2 linked regions of the Arabidopsis thaliana genome follow. The protein of the gene in region 1 interacts with the protein of each later gene in a pairwise test. Each region holds a gene or a part of one and is shown on either strand. Other genes may lie near its edges.

The links. The genes of interacting proteins can lie anywhere in the genome.
Region 2: the proteins of AT5G45190 (region 1) and CDKC2 interact in a protein complementation assay, tested with the Arabidopsis thaliana proteins (one study listed by BioGRID).

The regions. Positions count from the first base shown.
Region 1 is NC_003076.8:18,276,332-18,284,589, reverse strand, and holds AT5G45190 (Cyclin family protein), read left to right. Parts: upstream 1-2,715; 5' UTR 2,716-2,872; intron 2,873-3,824; 5' UTR 3,825-3,856; coding exon 3,857-4,081; coding exon of another isoform or gene 4,082-4,083; intron 4,084-4,146; coding exon 4,147-4,170; intron 4,171-4,272; coding exon 4,273-4,290; intron 4,291-4,511; coding exon of another isoform or gene 4,512-4,518; coding exon 4,519-4,593; intron 4,594-4,933; coding exon 4,934-5,068; intron 5,069-5,294; coding exon 5,295-5,470; intron 5,471-5,559; coding exon 5,560-5,711; intron 5,712-5,814; coding exon 5,815-6,782; 3' UTR 6,783-6,970; downstream 6,971-8,258. Other genes in the region: AT5G45200 (Disease resistance protein (TIR-NBS-LRR class) family), read left to right, coding at 1-623; AT5G45180 (Flavin-binding monooxygenase family protein), read left to right, coding at 8,004-8,258.
Region 2 is NC_003076.8:25,953,475-25,960,420, reverse strand, and holds CDKC2 (cyclin dependent kinase group C2), read right to left. Parts: upstream 5,048-6,946; 5' UTR 4,925-5,047; coding exon 4,812-4,924; intron 4,416-4,811; coding exon 4,334-4,415; exon of another isoform or gene 4,272-4,333; coding exon of another isoform or gene 4,236-4,271; coding exon 4,145-4,235; intron 4,040-4,144; coding exon 4,010-4,039; intron 3,897-4,009; coding exon 3,787-3,896; intron 3,696-3,786; coding exon 3,623-3,695; intron 3,541-3,622; coding exon 3,420-3,540; intron 3,313-3,419; coding exon 3,195-3,312; intron 3,097-3,194; coding exon 2,957-3,096; intron 2,864-2,956; coding exon 2,806-2,863; intron 2,723-2,805; coding exon 2,652-2,722; intron 2,529-2,651; coding exon 1,994-2,528; 3' UTR 1,616-1,993; coding exon of another isoform or gene 1,538-1,615; 3' UTR 1,530-1,537; intron 1,455-1,529; downstream 1-1,454. Other genes in the region: AT5G64970 (Mitochondrial substrate carrier family protein), read left to right, coding at 1-414, 590-893, 981-1,448, 1,538-1,615; AT5G64950 (Mitochondrial transcription termination factor family protein), read right to left, coding at 5,359-6,534.

The DNA.
Region 1 (8,258 bases):
GTGAGTTCAAAAAAGAAGACAAGACTTTGTTCCAGTTTAGTTGCATTCTTGGTGGTTGGACTGAACATGGAAGCTATGAAGCCCGCGAGATCAAGTCTGATCATGTCTTTATCGGCTACACCAGCTGGTTGAATTTCATGAAAAGTGACGACAGTATAGGATGTGTTGCAACCGAGGCTTCACTAAGATTCCAAGTTACGGACGGGACAAGAGAGGTTACAAACTGCACTGTCGTCAAGTGCGGCTTTAGTCTCATCTATTCACACACTAATGTTGATCATAGCTTGTGTACAGACAATTATTCTGATGTAACTACAACTACCAGTGGGGGTACAAGCTCCGGTTCAATAACGGACGTTGGAGAAAGTTGTTACCAAAATGGAAGTGAAGAAATCATAGAGGAAGCAATGCTTTTCGCAGCTTCAAGAGAAGTTGAAGAAGAAGAAGACACAGAGAGCTTAGTGACATTAAGCTCACTAATGGGAGAAAGTCCAAAGAGAAGTGAGAAGAAGGTACTGATGAGTGTCCGTAATGGTTCCACTAGAGAGGTAGCGATAGAGAGGGACGTTAACAACGCACATTGCCTTTCGTTTTTAAATGTGTTTAGATTTTGGCGGGATTGACAAGAGAAAAGGAGAGATCAAATCATGAAACAAGCACTTGCATATGTACAGAAAGCAAGAGAGAGAGGACTGTACCGGAATTGCTTCCCGGTTAATGTCCGATCGAAATTCAATTCAACGGCAAGCATTGTTGGTGTATCATCCACGGATCCGTCAAATCATAGTTTTGGGGATAATTTTGATTGGGTCTCCTGCACACAACTATCTTATTCCTTACGTCATTATCTTTTAAGTTGGCAAATATTTTTCTTAAGTTAATTAGTTAATGTTTTACGACCTTTTCAACCTAAAAAATGAAACACGAACTACGAACTGACTAGCCCTAATTCTCCCAATTTGATTGAAAGACTCTCCCTGAAACAGAGCACTTTAGGCTAGGTTTCCTACTTTGTTTCTAGCAATCGATTGCTTCGTGGGTAGGTTTTCAAAATCAAAACCTAATATTCACTTTCTTTGGGAATCTCGCGAGTTAATTTACAAGATCACATGTCTCAATGTATCGTAGGGTTTCTGTGTTTTTTTTTTTTTTTTTTCTTTTTCCTGTTGGGAAGGGTTTCTTGTTTTTTTTGCTAAGCTTATTATTTTTCTTTCTAATTTAATTTAGGATCCTTTAATTTATAAAGATAAAAAAAAATTAAATTGTTTGTTATGGAGTGTTTATCTAAATTAGTTTATAATGGTATAGATAAATATGAAAAAATAAAGATACTTATAAATTTAAAGAAGAAAAAAAAGAAAAACTTTAATATAATATTAGATATCCACATATTATTCAGATTTTACTAGGTTTTTTCGAGTTTACCCACTAAACCCGAAACCTATCGGATTTTTTGTGGGCATATTAAATTCGGGTTCGAGTCGGATTAGTTATATTTTGTCAAAAATGTATAATTGTTTGCAAAATGTAACCAAATTTAATTAATTGAAACCATTTTTATTAAAATTGAACAACTTGTAGGTTTTTTCCGACCATTCCAAATCTTACACCTACCCGAACCGAATAATCATAAAACCCCAATGGATAATAGTCTCTTCTTCTACCAGAAATATCCAAATCCAAAAAAAATCAAATCTGATCAAAGTTTCTAAAGCATAAGCCTAGACACAACTTCAATGAATTTCATAAATTTTAAGAAATTATATTTACATTGATATAATCTAATTCTTTTTTTTAAAGCATAAGCCTAGACACAACTTCAATGAATTTCATAAATTTTAAGAAATTATATTTACATTGATATAATCTAATTCTTTTTTTTAAACTACTAAAATATACATATTTATTAGTTTGAAAAATGAAAAATTGAAAAATGAGTGTGGGGCACGTGCCTCACCTCTCCTCTACCTACATCTGCCCCATGTTATAACTCTAATCTCAATATTCTCTCTAAATATTTTTAAATAACGTAATTTTTTTTGTTGTTTACTAAATAACTACTACAGTATACTATGTGATTTAAACTATAAATATTGCTAACTTGTCATAAATGTTTTACACAAACATATATATACTTAATTCTCATTCATCTTCGATACTATTGAATATTTTATTATAATCTTTATCTATACATCTCACCATTTTATATGTTTAGTTGACATCCAAATTTTGGAGTTATTTTAACAAAACAAAAGAAAAAAACAAAACTTTTGACAAAATACACAAAAAAAACATATTTGAAGAAATTTTTATATTTTTTCAAAAGCTTTAGTAGATAATTAAAATTTAATTTGTGATATATGTATATATTGTGATTTACGTATATCGCGGTCATTTTGAGTTAACAACTTTAAAAAATTTACTTTAAATAATAAAAATTATAAAGTCGCATTTTTATAACCTAGGCCTATATAAAATATAATAAGCTTTTAATATTTATTTTATCTCTTGATTTCTAATTCCTAATAACTGTTTCCTATTTTCTTTTTCTTTTTCTTTTTTTTTCCGTCGATTTTCTTTTTGTTCTTATCACATTTCAAAAAACAAATGTTAAAGATATCAATAAAGACGATTAGTGATTAGCTTATGAATTTATTTATATTCTTTTAATGTGAAAAAAGGGAAAGAAGTGAATCTGGTCTCAGCTTTTAATATCACAACTCTTTAGAATACTTCCTATCCCCTTTTTCTTCTTCTTCCCTCTTTCGTTTTCTCGCGACTCTCTAGGGTTAGGGTTTGTTGATTTTCACGCGTTATTCTTCATCTTCTTCTGCAATTCGCAACTAGAGAAGCTAATTCCATTGAAGTTAAGGTAAAGTATCCATCTTTTTGTTTCCCTCCCTCGTTCAATTACTGTCTTAAATTCTCGTTGATTTCCTTTATCCTCTCGATTTGGGTATTCTTTTTTGTCCACCGTCAAGTGAATCTCTCAACGAATTTTTCCATCTTCCGGTTAATTTCTATAGAAACCCTTTGGATCTGTTTTTTTCCTGCTCAATTACTAATTTTCTAGGTATCGTTTCGTGTTTTGAGAAAATTTTGGGATTTTGATCGAATGTATCTAATTGGTGATGAATTTTTAGCCTAATCAAGTTGTTACCACAAGTTCGATTCCATGATTTGCAATTCGTAAAGGTTCATCCTTTGCATGATTCATGTTCATAGCTTGTAGAAGATTTATCCCCTTTGACTCTCGTTTTAGACTATGTGGTTATGTTTCCTTGAAGCCATGTCACTAGTCTCTTCCCCGTTGTGCCCTTCCGTGTAGCTAATTTCTTATTCAAAGCCAAAGTTCGAATGCGGGTATAAAAAACATAGCTATCTACTTTTTCTGATGATCTCTTATCCTATCTAGTGTCGAGTATCAGACTTATTACCATTGTAAAGAGATGCCCCATTTTGGTCCGCTGCTTTTGCTAGGTTGCACAGATTGTTATAAAGTGAAGCAAATTTTGGTTCTTTGCTGTCATTTTGCTACTCTGCTTTACGACACTAATCATGAATCAGTATCTCCCCCTTTGTGCCCTTCTGTGTACTGTTAGAAACCTCAGTTGATTCCTGTTCTTAGAGTTTTCTAAATGCTTATAAGATTATCTGTTATTCAAAGATACGGTTTTAATGCAATTACAAAGATCATAGCTTCGTTTGTTGGGGAATCGATCTGGTTTTTCTTATGTTCTCTTTAATTGTCCTTTCTAGTGTTGAGTTTCAGGCTTATTATTATTTGTAAAGTGATGCACATTTTGGTTCTCTGCTTTTGTTAGGTGGGGATAATTTTTGGTTTTAGAAGATACTAATGGCTGGAGTACTAGCTGGGGAATGTTCTTACAGTGAGAGTGGAGTTTCATCACACTCAAGGAATTCCCATGAAAAGCAAGAAGAGGTTTCCCGCTGGTATTTTGGAAGAAAAGAAATAGAAGAGAATTCACCGTCAAGGTTGGATGGTATTGACTTAAAGAAGGAAACATACCTCCGCAAATCCTACTGTACATTTTTGCAGGACTTGGGCATGAGATTGAAAGTGTAAGTTCTCTATCACCTCATCTTAGATTTCTTTCTGTGCATTGTTCCTTTAACTGCTTCAAGTTGGCTTGGTTTCTTGACATTATAGTTCGTCCAATCCGTCCCATCATCATTGTGGACAGATAATAGTTACCCCTTTACATATAGGTTTCGTTTAATTGGAATTTGATGTGCTGCTGATGGTTTTAGGCATACGTTTGTACTGATGTTAGTTCTAGCACCTTTAAACGGAAAGTTGTAGAAGTTGTGTTTATTTTATCTCAATTTTTCTTTCTTTGGCATGAATACAAGGAAGAGACAGTTATTAGTGGTGAAGACATAACTGCCACACTGTCTTAATTTTGCTTTTGTAGTCATGGTTTCTGCATTGTTCAGAGATTTCAATTTTTGGCTCTCTTGGAAAGTCGCTGATATAGTTTTCCAATCAGTCCCCAGGTTACAATAGCTACAGCGATAATCTTCTGTCATCGATTCTTCTTTCGCCAATCACATGCAAAGAATGACAGAAGGGTGAGTTTATTGTTTTGCACCTGAACAAGTTGAATGCTTAAAAAAAAATGACTCTATTCTGTGTTGTTTGAACCACTATGCTGTAGTCTGGCTAGTATTTAAGGTATTGAAATGTATTGGTTTTATATATAGTGGATCCATCTCCTTGCCATTTTTCATGGTATTTATAGAGAGCTCATTATTGTAGTTTCATTTATAGTTTCGCTACCACTTTGATTTAGATTTTTCTTTTTTACTTATTCTATGCAGAATTAGTGAATTGTGATTGTTGTTATTTCTTCTAGAGCGGAAAAAAATACTCGGATCTTTACTGAGCTCTCTCTTCATGTTGTTTCTGCAGACCATTGCAACTGTATGCATGTTCCTTGCTGGAAAGGTTGAGGAAACTCCACGGCCCTTGAAAGATGTTATTTTTGTCTCCTATGAGATTATAAACAAGAAGGATCCTGGTGCTTCCCAGAAAATCAAGCAAAAGGTATTCCATCTTACTACTGAATCTTCCTAATTTCTCACCTCTGTTTTACTAGTTATAGATGAACGTATCATTTTTTCCCCATATCTTTTGTTTTATTTGACATTGAGGTTTTAGTATTAGCTACAGACTTTGCTTCGTTGTTTTGTAGAACCATGGTCCTTTGGTCCTGATTTATTGTCTGTTGGTCAGCATATCAAAATGTATTTGACCTATATCACTTTTTCAGGAAGTATATGAGCAACAAAAAGAGCTTATATTAAACGGAGAAAAAATTGTTCTTTCCACTCTAGGCTTTGACCTCAATGTTTATCATCCTTATAAACCCCTGGTAGAAGCAATAAAGAAATTTAAGGTTGCACAGAATGCACTTGCCCAAGTTGCATGGAATTTTGTTAATGATGGGTACGTTCAAGAACTATTTCCTTCTAAAGCTTCCAATAATTCTATGTGCCTTGTATTTTCGTCTTCATACAATGAAAAGTGGCTTGCAGTCTACGGACATCTCTCTGCCTGCAATTTAAGCCTCATCATATTGCGGCTGGTGCAATATTTCTTGCGGCCAAGTTCCTTAAAGTGAAGTTACCATCAGATGGAGAGAAGGTTTGGTGGCAAGAATTTGATGTCACACCCAGACAACTGGAGGGTATGTACAATATGAATTGACTTGACAATTCTTGTTTCCTTGTTTGACTTCCATTCCCTTTTTCTTTATGATTTCAAGAGTAATCGTCTTTTGTATATCTCAGATGTTAGCAACCAAATGCTTGAGCTTTATGAGCAAAATCGTGTCCCTGCATCTCAAGGAAGTGAAGTCGAGAGTAGTGTAGGTGGAGGGTCAGCTCAGCGACCAGGCTCCAGAAATGCGGTTTCAACCGATGAGCATGTTGGTTCTAGGCAAACGTCATCAGTACGTTCAACCCATGAACAATCAAATTCTGATAATCATGGGGGTTCATCCAAAGGAGTATTGAATCAGAACAATGAGAATGGGGGTGGTGAGGCAGCTAATGTCAGTGTCGATAACAAAGAGGAGATAGAGAGAGAAACAAAAGAAAGCAGCCTACATCTTGAAAGCCATCCAGCCCATAAGGACAATGTGAGAGAAGCCCCCCATAACTCTAGACCTTTAGTTGAGGGACCTGGGAAAGACAACTCAGAAAGAGAGGGTGGAGAGCTACAAGATGATGGTGCTGTTCATAAATCTCGAAATGTTGATGTGGGTGATGCCCTAATCAGCCAATCGCCAAAAGATTTGAAATTGCTTCGAGATAAGGTGAAGGCTAAACGAGAGAAAGCTAAGAAGTTGCTAGGTGAAAGAACGAGGAAAAAGGATTTGATGGATGAGGATGATTTGATTGAAAGAGAACTGGAAGATGTGCAACTAGCTGTTGAGGATGAAAAGACGAAGGAAAGGAAAGTACAGAGCAGGCCAAAGGCGGAGAACTCTGATCTCATGGGTACAGAACATGGTGAGATTTTAGATGTTAAAGGAGAAGTCAAAAATACAGAGGAAGGTGAAATGGTAAACAACAATGTGTCCCCGATGATGCATAGCAGAAAGAGAAAAATGGGAAGCCCTCCTGAAAAGCAGTCAGAAGGAAAGAGACGCCACAATAGTGAGAATGGGGAAGAAAGCCATAAGACGAGCAGAGGTAGTAGCCATCATGGTGATAGAGAGCACAGAAGACACTCACAAGAGAATAACCATTCATAAGAGAGGTAATGATTATTAAAACTGCTACTCTTTGTATTCCATCTAAATGGTCTTTTTAAAAGACCTTTGGCACTTCGATGCCCAACCATGTGAACTTGACTTCTACATGGGTCGGTTCAGTCGTTGGAACCATGCTCTCTGTATTTTATGTTGATTATATATCTATTCGTGGCATTTTTGCACAATCCAACGACTTGAACTAGGACTCATCATCCTAAAAGGATGTTGAGAAGCTAATTAGGTGTTTCTTCCTGTAACCACTCCATGCTAGGGTTCTTTAATTATGCATAATTACCTGCTTTTTTCCATCTAATCTAAACCGGGCTAAGGTTTGATTCTGCTTGGCAACTTCATAGTCACATTTACTTCGTTTCCTTATATTGATGCGCATTGTGAAAAAGTTTCCTCTAGTACGGTAAAATTAGTGTCAGGTCATAGGAAGTAATGTATAGGTTGTGGTTAAGTCCACTTGATAACTTCTTTGTTACTGTACATTGTTGAATTGAGTTTACTTTTGATGCCAAAATATTGTTACGACCAATGTTTTCTTAAGTTATATATGATGTAAAAGAGAGAAACCTTTGTATTGTACGGTATCAAAATGAACTATATGTACTTTTAAGTCTGTCAGATTTTGTTTTCTTCGAAAAGTGATATTTTGTATGACCTATCGGAGAAGTGCCATCTGATTCGGAAGCATAAATACAAAGAAAGCATGTAGAAAGAAAGAACGAAAATAACTAAATATGTAACTCTTCTGTTATCTAGAAAAGAAAGGAAGAGATCTATAGAGTAGAACATTCTGTTCCTAGACTAAATATAAAATATAAAAAAATCAACTTCCACCAACCTAGAGTTTGGCAAAAGAAGCCTGAACCTACGTAAAGAAATTATTTAGTTTTGTTTTGTTAATAGCGTGTCGCACATATCCAAACTTTAGCTTTTAAAAGGGACAAGCTATCTCGTTTCACTTAGATAACTGACGCCATTTGTAAACGTCAGAATCATGACGTCACTTTTCTTAATCTTAGCATTGGTTTTAATTGACATTAAAACTCTTATACTTTCAACTTACATGCTCCCAAATAGCTATATCCGATCCGACTAGACAAGATCCGACCCAATAGCACCTTATAAAGATGTTCTATGCAAATCAACAAATCTCAAAATATTTTCCACATAAAAAGTTTTATAATATCTCTCTATTTCATAATCTTTTTCATGGCTTACAACTACAATATGCATACTTCATCAAGAGTAGCTATCATAGGTGCGGGTGTTAGCGGTTTAGCTGCCGCTAAGCACTTAGCACGTCACCATCCACAAGTCTTTGAAGCCTCTGATTCGATTGGAGGTGTTTGGAGAAAATGTACGTATGAAACAACTAAGCTCCAGTCGGTTCGAGTAAGCTATGAGCTCTCCGATTTCCTTTGGCCGAACAGAGGCGAAAGCAGCTTCCCAACTTATGTCGATGTA
Region 2 (6,946 bases), 7.7 Mb from region 1:
AGCTGAAGCAATCAGATCAGAGTCATTAGATCACAATGGTCAAATCATCTGCGGTGGGTTGTTTCTCGAAGAATCTCTTCCTTCCTCGTCTGTCTCTTTTCTTTCGTCGAAGGATTGTTCCGTCAATTCGTGTCGCTTCAGTCAAAAGTCGAGTTTTTTGAAGTTTAGGAGACGAAACGGGACCAGGGAACCTCTGTTTCTGTCTGTTAGTTTATCGATTAACGAGAGTAATGGTGAGGAAGAAGAAGGTGAAGGGTATAATGGTCAAAACGGCTTTAAATCGGAGAAAGGTTCGGTGTTGATCGGTGGTGGTCAAGAATCTAAGGAGAAGCGTAGGGTTAAGGAAAATGGAGCAGGAGCTCTCAACACAACCAAGCATTTATGGGCTGGAGCTTTTGCAGCCATGGTTTCAAGGTCTCTCCTTCTTCTTTACTTATTCTACGAAACTCTTGAGGTCAAATGAGATTGAGTGTCAGTATAAAGTTGTAGACTTTAAGTGTTGGGGTTACTTACTGATATGCTTATTTGAGATTTTGTATTGATTTGGTTTGTTGTAGTTTGGTGGCTCATTGGGTTTTGGTTTGAGCAGAACTTGCATTGCACCTCTTGAACGGATGAAGCTAGAATACATTGTTCGCGGAGAGCAAGGGAATCTTCTTGAACTCATTCAGAGGATTGCAACAAATGAAGGGATTAGAGGATTTTGGAAAGGGAATTTGGTTAATATTCTCAGAACTGCTCCCTTTAAGTCCATCAACTTCTATGCATATGATACATATAGAGGTCAGCTTCTGAAATTGTCCGGGAATGAAGAAACGACAAATTTCGAGAGGTTTGTTGCTGGTGCAGCTGCCGGAGTAACAGCTAGTTTGCTTTGTCTACCACTTGATACTGTAAGTGGAATCACAACAAAAACTTCATTGAGCTTCTTTTACCATTCTCTGGAGGTTCTTTAGCATTACTTTGGTTTTGAATTGCAGATAAGAACGGTTATGGTGGCACCCGGTGGAGAAGCATTAGGTGGTGTAGTTGGTGCATTCCGTCACATGATTCAAACTGAAGGTTTCTTTTCCCTATACAAAGGTCTTGTACCTTCACTTGTTAGTATGGCTCCATCGGGAGCTGTGTTCTACGGTGTCTATGATATTTTAAAATCAGCTTACCTTCATACACCGGAAGGTAAGAAACGGCTTGAACACATGAAGCAAGAAGGTGAAGAACTTAATGCTTTCGATCAACTCGAGCTTGGTCCCATGAGAACTTTGTTATATGGAGCAATCGCAGGGGCTTGCTCAGAAGCAGCAACATATCCGTTTGAAGTTGTGAGAAGGCGTTTACAAATGCAGTCACATGCTAAAAGGTTAAGCGCAGTGGCTACTTGTGTGAAGATCATTGAACAAGGAGGTGTTCCTGCTCTATATGCTGGCTTGATTCCCAGCTTATTGCAGGTTTGATTCCTTAATACTAGTCATAAATTAATCTCTTGAACCAGCTTATTGCAGGTTTTACAGCTTTGTGAATTATCTCACTATTGCAGGTTTTGCCTTCCGCGGCAATCAGTTACTTTGTTTACGAGTTCATGAAAGTTGTTCTGAAAGTAGAATCATCCGCATAAGACAATAAGCAATGAGAAATGACACAATTACTGCTGGAGCTGCTTCAGAGGAGAGTTTTTTCGTTTTCTTTTTGGGGTTTACACTGATTCGTGTAGTTTTTCCACACTTCATCGAAAACAGATAAGAGGTTGTGAAACGTTTTTTTGCAAGAAATAATAAGATTTGGGTAAAAATCCAATTTGGTTTCCTGTGTTCTGATATATAAACCTTGATTTAAACATACAACAATCACAGAATGTTTGGAAGAATGCCATTAAGACAAGAAATCAAATGAAAATAGATTCTCTTTCGCGAAGATAAGTCTTCATATCTAAAATCACAACTGCCTTAAAGACATCAAGCCAAGACCACACCATACGAGTCTCTTTGAGTTCTCTTTACGGTTGCCATCCATATTGTTGGTTTCTAGCACCACCCATAGGGTTCTGACCTCTTCCAGAGCCACCAGATCCACCATACTGACCACCACCTTGTGAGTAGTTGGGTGGTCCAACACCATAGCCACCGCTAGGTCCTCTAGGACCGGCGCCATATGGTGCACCACGACCTTGTGGAGGATATGCTCCGCTGCTGTAACCTCCACGGCTCTGATTATTATAACCACCAGTCTGGTTTCCGCTAGGAGGGTACCGGTTTGGAACAGGTGCACCACCACGGGGCTTTCCTCCATAGTAATGGCCACCAGCAGGTATTTGGGGTGGTGGTGCGTTGTTGTTCATAGGGTGGTTTGGTCCAGCAGGCCAAAGTGGAGCGGCATGAGACTGGCCAACACCGTGTTGCTGTGGAGGTAAACGAGAATGTTGCTGCTGTGGATGCTGCAGTTTCTGTTTTTTGGCTGCTTCCTCATTATGACGCATCTGTTGCCGTTTTTTCTTTGTCTGGAACTCATGTGATGATTCATATGTCGGTAGACTGTTGACATAACACAGTTTCAGTACAAGCTGAATCACTCACTAATTGTTCTTGATCGTCATTTGTGATGTATGATGAACCAAATGGGTTTTCATAACAAGAAAGTTAAGAGAATTTGATTACCTCTTTGGATCACATGGCAGCGGATCAGTCCAAAAGTACTCAGCATCAAGAGCATCCTTTGCGCATATTCTCTGTACCAACAGACAGGAAAATGAAAGGACTTAAATGTCTAGACCAAGGCTCTTAATTCTCTGTATTAAAAATTCTTTGGTACCTGAGATGGGTCAAGTACCAACATTTTCTCAAGTAGTTCAAGGGCATGGCGATCAAAGCTATAGCAGAAGAGAAAAGGACCAAATGAGATCTCCTGGATCAAAGTAACTGTTGCATAAAAGAGTCGCAACTACATAATGGTTTATACTTACTGTCTGTAGATCTCCCTTACGCGTCTCTTTAAGGGCCGAGATGATTTCATTTGGTTATACCAAGGCATCTTGGAAACTCCAGGCCAGTTGCTTTCATCAGGTGATCCACAAAGCTCATAAATCTTATTCAATTGTTCATTCTGGAAAGAAAAAAATATGACTAAAACGCTAAGTGGAAACATCATCAAAGAACACTGTAATAACACACACCACGATAATCATAAGATGAAATCCTGACCTCAGTTTTCCCAGGCAAGATTGGTTTTCCATTCAAAAGTTCAGCAAATATGCATCCAACTGACCACATGTCAATCGCTGGTCCATATTTAGTTGCACCAAGTAACAATTCAGGGGGCCTACAGCAATAAACAATGCATAAGTAGAGAAAAAGCTGCACGTATAAGCAATACTTATTCTTTGTCACTTTTTTGTATATAACTTCAAAGTTTGTAGGCATACATACCTATACCACAAAGTGATGACACGATTTGTGAGGTTTCCAGTATGATCATGAGAATATGACCGAGCAAGCCCAAAATCCGCTAGCTTTAAATTTCCCTCATTGTCAATAAGTAGATTCGAACCTGCACCAATATATTATAGGTTAACTAGCAAATAAAGACAAGAGAACAAAATGGTCAACAATGTATTTTGGGATATATTCACCTTTTATATCACGGTGAAGCACTTGATTCACATGACAATAGTGAAGCCCAGTCAGCAGTTGCTTCATGTAACACTTTTTTACATATGTTCAAATGTCAGACAAAGTCGGAACAATAAGGGTTTTTGCAAAGGCTACTACAACAAGGTGTCTAGCCATGCAATACCTTTATCTGAGGAACCGTAAATCTCAGTCCAGGACGATCAGCAAGTCCAGTCAAGTCATGATCCATGTACTCAAAGACCATGTAGATTCCACCCTTGTATTTGTTATTATCTAAAATTGAAGAAAAGCAACAAGCTTTAGGCCGTAAGCAGTTTAAATAGATCTCTCATAGTCGCATCTAAGTTGTACAGAAAATATTTCGATCTTGAATAAGTTTCACTAACCTGGCTTTCCTTGATCATCCCTATCTCGACCTTTTAAAGACAAAAACAGTCACAAAACTCTACATATCAAACTTAACACCCCTTTTGACAAAATTTCTAAAGCAATTACAAGCTAAGATAAGAGTTCCTTATTACCTGGAGAAGTAACAATCTCTTTCAAATGGATGACATTTTCATGATGCAGCTTCTTCAGAATTTTGATCTCCCGGATAGCGGTTATCGGAAACTCCATGCAAACAATGAAAACGGAAATATAAGTCATACGAAACTCACAAAAATTTGCAACTTGTCAAAGCTAGTACTGGTAGTTCAAATGTAGCTTACCCCTTCTCTTTCATTGTCCATACGGATCTTTTTCAGAGCCACGATTTCACCAGTTTTAATTTCTTTAGCCATGTACACTTGGCTGCAAAACCAAATTTTAATATATGAATCTAAACACCATCAAAAGAGACAGCTTCAGAAGTTTATTGCAACATATATATATATATATATATATATATATATATATATATATCTACCATACCAAGAATCTGAGAATTCCCAAATTCAATCAACAAAATCGAATTTATTGAGATAAGAGGCAAAGTTAAAATTCCTCAAATCAACAATATATGGATCAATAACTATATATAAACGTTTCACAATCAAAATTGTTTCAAAAAAACTTATATATCAAGTGGCCCTAGCGAAATCGTTCAAATTTGAGAAATTTCAGTCTTGAGCACGAGTACTCTGACAAAACCAAATAAATTGGAATCAAGGAACAAAACCCAGAAAAAAAAAGAATGGAGAAGAATACCCGTAAGTTCCTTCACCAATCTGTTCAAGCTTCTCGAAGCAATCGACACTACGAGATCCCCAAATCGGTGGAGGCTCCTCTAGATTTAACTGCCCAAAAGCCGCAGCCGCCATTATTCAACCGAATCTGAAAATTACCGAAGAATTCTGCAGCTTCGCCCTTGTCGCTCCTCTTCTCGCCTTCTTCTCTCCGGCTATTCTAAGGTTTTAGCCCTACCTTACAGTGTCGGCTTCGCGGAAAAACCTAAGCTTTTTTATCCGGAATCAATCTCTGGTTTAAACCGGTTATTACAACGAACCAAAATCAAACCGGTTAAATTCATGAGTCAAATTTTTAAGACGCTTTGACAATCTTGAGTTTTTGCTCAAGTGCTGAAATAGAAAAAGAATCGCTTCATATGAATCCCATTATTATATGAGAAGCTTCAAGCTCGTAATAAAGGGTGATTTAAGAGTTACTTCCAAATTATAATGTTCAACACAGTTACGGATGAGCGAAGTTTGGATACAATGACAAAATTTCAAGTTTGGACTTGTGAAATCTACAATTAGATCTTGATACGATCAAGTAGCGTTTCATCGACTAAACACACGCACTTGTAAGCAACCAGCAGTTCCTCAGCAATCTCATCTCCAAATCTCACAACATATTTCTCTAGAAAAGCTTCCTCAGTCATCTCAACAATGCCAACCATGTTCTTCTTCTTCTTCTCCTCTTTTAACAACAACCCTTTTTCCCTCAAGATCTGCAAAACTTTAAGCCTAGGAATCACCCTCTTCTCAAGATTATACGACAACACACAAGGACGTTTCGCCAAAGCTTCCCTCTCTAACCCCATTCTCTTCAAGTAAAACTCAAACCCCAGTGTAAGCTTATCTTCTGAGCACCGGATCAAACCTGGAGATCTTCGTATAATATCTGTTATCTCATCTTCAGAGAATCCATTAGCCATAAACAACTTAACCTTTCGATCAAACGTTTTCTCGCTCAAAGAACTTAACGAGATAACAGCGTGCACAAGCATCCTCGAGTTCAAAGTAAAACCAAGATCCAAAGCACGAGAGACATATCCTCTGAGTTTTTCCTCAGAGAGATTGAAGATTCTTGGCTGTCTTCTAAGTAAAGAAGCAAGCTGAGACCCAACAATTCCACAGGTTTCAAGGTATGAGATGTTTGGTAAGAGAAACAAGTTAGGGTCTCTACTGAGAAGAAGCCAACCACATCTACTAAGAATGACAGGAAGGTCTTCATGTTTTGGGGCAACAATCGATTTCAGAATCTCAACGGTAGGAATCAATTTCTTCACTAGACTTACACCAACGACTGATGAGTTTTGAGAGACGAACTTACCAAGACCAGAGCCAGTAAATCCAATATCTTTAAAGAATCGAAGTTTGGGTTCTAGAATTTTCTCCACGTTGTAGAACATCATTCGAGGATGGACCCGGATCGATTTCTGGATCTGGGTATCGGAAAAACTGTAACTTTTAAGCATTTGAATCACTGACCGAGGTTGTTCTAGGGATTTGAGGTTAGGGTAACGCATTGCGATGGCAATTGCTAGAGGTTTCTGGAACCCATTGTCCCTGAGAAACTCGACGAACGCTGGATTTGATATCGAAGCTGGTGTCGCATTCGAAGAGAAATGATGCAACGAGAGAGCTCGATCCCATCTCCGACCAAACTTTCTGGAATTGGAAACGAGAGAAGCTAGAAATTGCATCTTGGAAACGAAAGTTTAGGGTTTTACCAAAGCTTATTATTTTGTACAGTTAAGAATCATTCATGACTTTTCAACTATGGTTTCTATTTGATAAGATTAATTTATTTGAGATACAGTATTCAAAATATTACTAAAACAGAGATGAGTCTAGTGAGTAGCTGAGTACAATGAGTATATTTATACGAAAAAGTTCCTAATTTCTAAATCTCTCTATACACAAGCAATACATGTGGCTCATGACCACTCTGTTGATGAACAACCAGAGTCTCCTCTCCAAAAATTATTATCGAACTTTAAGAAGACAGAGATGAGAGAGTGGTGGTGGTTTGACTAGTTGACCATCTCTTGCCTCTCAAGCTTCCATAAGATAATTTTATTTGCAGACCAGTGAAATTGTTAACACTCCTGTGAA